Linked DNA regions of Mus musculus: region 2 is reported to be linked to region 1. The links are microRNA targets in miRTarBase. Many come from high-throughput screens and were not tested one by one. Region 1 holds a microRNA gene; the other region holds the end of a gene's coding sequence.
The links. The annotated mature microRNA mmu-miR-466e-3p reads UAUACAUACACGCACACAUAAGA and lies in region 1 at 841-863, shown strand. An mRNA with a match to its seed (bases 2 to 7 or 8) in the 3' UTR can be bound and repressed. Matches are read on the target gene's strand: a 7mer-m8 pairs with bases 2 to 8, a 7mer-A1 pairs with bases 2 to 7 and ends in A, and an 8mer does both.

Region 2: the mRNA of Rasa2 is a reported target of mmu-miR-466e-3p. Seed matches in the 3' UTR shown: 7mer-A1 at 2,751-2,757, 8mer at 551-558 and 8mer at 515-522.

Annotation. Positions count from the first base shown.
Region 1 is chr2:10,505,218-10,508,347 of GRCm38, forward strand. It overlaps Mir466p (microRNA 466p), which reads left to right and starts at 789; the gene lies at 789-877. The region is part of intron 10 of Sfmbt2 (Scm-like with four mbt domains 2); the gene reads left to right. Mir467e (microRNA 467e) reads left to right here and starts at 504; the gene lies at 504-590. Mir467d (microRNA 467d) reads left to right here and starts at 2,413; the gene lies at 2,413-2,497. It also overlaps Mir466.
Region 2 is chr9:96,539,567-96,542,642 of GRCm38, forward strand. It overlaps Rasa2 (RAS p21 protein activator 2), which reads right to left. Exons shown (of 24, transcript NM_053268.2): 24 at 1-2,909. The coding sequence ends at 2,879. Among named protein-coding and RNA genes, the nearest start is that of Gm28729, 16 kb to the left of the region's middle.

The DNA.
Region 1 (3,130 bases):
ACACATACATGTGTACACAAATACACATGGCAATCATCCATTTGATTTATATGTGCTTAGAGTTTTATAGAGTGCATATTCATGGGACAGGAAACATCTCATTAATCAGATGCAAACCATTTGCCAGAGTCAGGAGGATCTGGAGTTCAAATTCATGTTTAACTTCATGATGAGTTAGAAATCGTACTGGATTTATGTGATGGACCCTAGGTATGTGCATGTGTGTGTAACTTTGTGTGAATGTACATGTATGCATATAATTATACATATACATACACATGCATGCACACATACAGACTTGAATACTCACACACATAAGTATGACTCTCATTGATCAATTTGAATGATATATGTCATTGAATTTTATTGATTATGAAGTAGAAGGACACTGAATGGTCTCACTCAACAGGTGTAAAAAATTGACAGTGTCAAGAGGATCAGGTGTTTAATTTCATGCTTAACTTCATGAAAGAGTGGTGCAATGTGATGGTCCCTATGTATGTGCCTGTGTGCATAAGTGTGAGCATGTATATGTGTGTATATTTTATGCATATACATACACACACCTATATACACATGCACACAGACATGCGGGAATGGCCCTCACGGATCCATTTGAATGATATGTGACCTACTGCTTTGGAGGTTATGTATGACTGGGCCAGAGTGAGGTCTCACAAACCACGGGAAAACCCTTGGTAGAGTCGGGAAGATCAGGAGTGCAAGTTCATGGTAAAGGCATGATGAGTTAGAGGTCATCCTGGCATTCATGTGATTGCCCCTATGTATGTGTATATGTGTTTATGTGTGTGTACATGTACATGTGTGAATATGATGATATATACATACACGCACACATAAGACACATATGAGCACACAGACACACAGGAATGGCACTCACTCATCGATCTATGTGACTGTGAGCTTTGGAGATTATGTATGACTAGATCAGGGAGAGTTATCACCCATCATATTAAAAATGCTTGTTTAAATCAGGAGGTCAGGAGGTCAAATTCATGCTTTATTTCATGATGACTTAGAGATCTGCCTGGGAATCATGTGATGCCCCCATGTATGTGTATATGTGTGTAACTGTGTGTGGATTTGTGTACATGAATATACATACCTACACACACGTAGACCCATACACAGACACACATATGAATGCCACTCCTCAGTCCATTTGAATGATATGTGACTTAGAGTTTTAAGATTCCTCAGTACTGAATAGGGAGAGGTCTCACTCAGCAGGTGAAATCCCTTGCCAGAGTCAGGTGGATCAGGAGTTCAAATTTGTGCTGAATTTCATGATGAGTTGGAAATCAGCACGGGATTCATGTGATGCCCACCAAGAATGTGCATGTGTGTATAGTTGTGTGCATATTCATTTCTCTATATGAATATGCATATGCACACATGCACACACATTCATAGGAATGGCCAGAGTTATTTCTTAGGTAGGAGGTGAATAATCTTGCTAGAGTCAGGAGAATATGGTGTTCAAGTTTATGTTTAACTTCATGATGCATTAGAGATCAGCATGTGTTTCATTGATGCACACCAAAATGTGCATGTGTGTGTAGTTGTGTGCATATTCACTTCTCTATGTGAATATGCATATACACACATGCAGACACAGGAATGGCACTCATATATCCTTTGGAATGGTATGTGACTCAGAGCTTTAGAGCTTATGCAGTGCTGGGCCAGAGCTATGTCTCAGTTAGGAGGTGGATGCTCTTGCCAGCGTCAGGAGGTCCCAGAGTTCAAATTCATGTTTAACTTCCTGATGAGTTACAGATCAGCCTGTTATTCATGTGATTGTTTCTGTGTATGTGTATAGATAAGTTTGTCTGTACATGCGGATATATGAAAAGACATATATTGACACATATTCACACATGCATGCATACAGAAACACATGGCAGTCATCCATAAGTTTTATATGTGCTTAGAATTTCATAGAGTGTATATTTATGGTACAGTGAAATATCTCGCCAACTAGATGAAAACCGCTTGCCAGAATCAGAAGTCTTGGAGTTCAGAATCATGCTTAACTTAATGATCAGTTAGTGATCATCCTGGATTCGTGTGATGGACCCTAGGTATGTACATGCACACATAATTTTGTGTGCATGTACATGTGTGTATATGATTATACATAACACACACACACACACACACACGTATAAAAGCAAGCACACACACACCAAGGTATGGCATTCATCGATCCATTTGAATGATATATGTCTTAGAATGTTACTGATTATGCAGTAGAAGGACAGTGAATGGTCTCACTCACAAGGTGTAAACAATTGGCATTGTCAGGAGGATCAGGAGTTCAATTTCATGCTTAACTTCATGAGCAGTTAGAGATCATCCTGGAATAATGTGATGGCCCCTATGTATGTGCCTGTGTGCATAAGTGCGCGCATGTATATGCGTGTATATTTTATGCATATACATACACACACCTACACACACATGCACACAGACATGCGGGAATGGCCCTCACGGATCCATTTGAATGATATGTGACCTACTGCTTTGGAGGTTATGTATGACTGGGCCAGGGTGAGGTCTCACAAACCACGGGAAAACCCTTGGTAGAGTCGGGAAGATCAGGAGTGCAAGTTCATGGTAAAGGCATGATGAGTTAGAGGTCATCCTGGCATTCATGTGATTGCCCCTATGTATGTGTATATGTGTTTATGTGTGTGTACATGTACATATGTGAATATGATATCCATATACATACACGCACACATAAGACACATATGAGCACACAGGCACACAGGAATGGCACTCACTCATTGATCTATGTGACTGTGAGCTTTGGAGATTATGTGTGACTAGGTCAGGGAGAGTTATCACCCATCATGTTAAAAATGCTTGTTAGAATCAGGAGGTCAGGAGTTCAAATTCATGCTTTATTTCATGATGACTTAGAGATCTGCCTGGGAATCATGTGATGTCCCCATGTATGTGTATATGTGTGTAACTGTGTGTGGATTGTGTATATGAATATACATACCTACACACACATAGACCCATCCACAGACACAGACACACACACGCATGCCACTCCTCAGTCCATTTGAATGATATGTGACTTAGAGTTTTAGAGATT
Region 2 (3,076 bases), not on the chromosome of region 1:
TGCATTTGTCACATAGGTGGGGACACTAGAAAGCACTGCGGAGTCCATCTTTTAGGCTATTCAATAGTACTTAAAGCAATTTAGAAGGTGTGTTCACTTAAAAGGAATGTATTTTCTAAAACCTAGCTTGAATGAACTTTTCCAGTAAAAGAATGCAATTCGGCCTTGGAGACACAGACAAACCCCAGCCATCAGTCACATGATGTTTCTTGTTGGTAAAATAAGAGCCCAGTTTTGATGCTTAGCTATTACCCGTGATATTAAAAACATAGTTCTTTGGTAAGCAAAATAGTTTGATTTGATAAATTATATTCCTGGGAGTAAAAAAAAAAAAAAACCAAACCAAAACCAAAACTTTTGCTGTTGCCCAGTGTCTTACCAGGTGATGATTTAAAAGAAAGCTAAACAACAGATCAGTATAATCTCAATGGATGGATACAGCTCCACTAGGAGTCAGAGCTAGTGAGTGACTGTGCTAAGTTTCCTCCTATCATCTTCTGTTCATATATATATATATACATACACATACATGTGTGTGTGTGTATATATATATACATATACAAAAACCATGTGTGTGTGTGTGTGTGTGTGTGTGTGTGTACGTATATATGTTTTTTTTTTTCAAATGCTCTTTGCAGAAGCAGAGAAAGGAGACCATGGAGGTAAGACTCTAAGTACGCAAGAGCACAGCATAGGAGAAGCCCCGAGAAGGGCCCTGACTGTCCTTGGACTCTGTGGACATAGTTTCTGATTGGAAAAGACTTACTAAAGAAAATTAGTTTTGTATTTCTCTTTTTACACTGTACCAAGCTGGCTAATTAATTCCAGTCAAGCTGGCTGTTTAAAAGGTCATGTGAATAAAAGAACTACAATATTGAGCTCTCAGAGTTACACATGTATACAGCTTTGGCCCCTGTGACCCTATGATCATTAAAAATACTTGCAATTGGAGTTTGATATTAGAAAGACCAGGTGAGCCAGATGTGGTGATACACATTTAATCCCCGCACTCAGGAGCGGAGGCAGGTGGATTTCTATGAGTTCTAGGCCAGCCAGGGACATAGAGTGAAGAAATCATTAGGAAATCATCCTTTTTTGAGGGGTGGGGTGAGGGAGAAAAACCCCTAAACAAAACAACGAACAGATGATCCCAAACCACTCTAGAGTCTTGAACTTCAATGCCCCTGGGTTTTGTCCTTTTTAGGAAGACATTTGAGAGAATCTAAGTAGGCATTTTAATATGAAGTTCATGATAAATTTATTAAATGGCTAATGTTTTTAAAAAACACCTGTAACAGTATAGTTAATTAGATCCATAAGTCTGTCAGATTTGAAGGACTCTTTTAAGCTTCAGTATGGACCAGGAGTCACAGCGTAGCACAATGCAGGCCAGCACTGACTTAAAAGTCATTTGTAAAAAAATCTATTTTCAGTCATGACGTTTATAATGGGACAATTCTCTGTGTTAATGATCTTTAAAATACCTGCTAATGAAGTAAAAATAATTACCCAGCAACAACATAATTGGTAAGTATATTTTGAACTATAGCTTAAGCTCAACGACAGGGGATTGCAGCTAGTGAGACTTCCACCAGTAAGTCACAGTTTTCAACAGGAACATATGGAAATAGACCAAGGTTCAAAGTACCACACTCAGAAAATAGTTTTAATTAAAAAAGACAAGTAAGTACCATAGGTTTTAATACTGATGAAGCCGAGTGTATCACTCCTCCTCAGGGACACTCGCTTCAACTGCTTATTTACAGGTAGGGTTTCTAGGGCCAGAGGAGGGTAAGGAAACACAGGTATCCCAACAGTTGCTGCCCCTGATCCCCTTTGGCTAGCAGGCAATAAGGAAACAGCAATACAATATCAACATTTTCAGGAAAGCACGGTTTGATATTTAAACACTGATCATTCAACTGATCAAAAAAATAGATACTACGGAGTATCCAAACCACAACCTGGAATGTGCCAGATTATTAAAGTGCGCCAAGTGACCGTTCTCTAGTTAGAGCAGGACCTAACACTATGGAGGGTATCCTTACACACCCTTATTATGATGTGGGACAGAAGGCAACATCAGGTGATCTCCTCACTACTCACTCATGCTTCTCTTCTGGTTGGGAAGAGCTGCCCTCAGGAGGAGTGCTAACCTGAATTCTCGGAGAGAGCGAGTCCCTGACAGCTGAACAATGAAGGCCACTTTAGTGGTCCACTGTCTTGGCACCACCCCCCACTCCAATGTAAACATGGTGCACACAGGAGCACACATCCCCTCACAGCTGAGCACCCTCACCTGTGACCAGGAGAGACACCCGCCAGCTTTCAAAGGTGTTCAGATGTCTGTGTCTGTCTCTAACCTGTAATGGCTAACACAACAGAGGAAAAGGGTTTTTTTTTTTCCTTTTTTTTTTTTTTAAAGACAAACGTCCAGATGAACTTAATGGAAAGTTCTGACCGACAAGGAACTCTAGCTCTATAGTAAACTCAATGTTGGCAGCACAGAGGAGGCACTGACGGTGGTGAGTGACACAGGAGTGCTCCAGGTGGAGGTGGGGTCTTGCTGTCAAGTGCTCCCTTGTTACGGAGCTGCTTGGGTCCTCAGGAAGACCCTTCCCATCAGAAGGAAGCTGCAGGGACACGGGGCTGGATGCATGGCTATGGAGGAAATCTTGGGTTTCAAATTCTTTAGTAATACACACATCAGCATCAGGATCCCCAAACAGTTAATTTCAATCATTAAATATTATACATTATGACAGACAGCATGTATCATCAAAGCCGATGTCCATTCTTACATACTATGAACAAAACGGGGTGAACTGAAAAACTTGATGAAAAAGAGTATTTTCCAGTTCTCCATCAGTTGGTCAAACTATGATATTTTTCCAACAATTGGATTTTCCCTACAAAACAATAAAAGAAATACACAAATTAGCAATGTGACATACACAGAACCCACTGAACACTTTTAATTTTCCTTGACTGCTCATGCTGAGTCTTGTTTTATTAATCTGACAAGTCTTATTGATCACTTACTATATTTCAAGTTCTATTCTAGAAGCTAATGGTA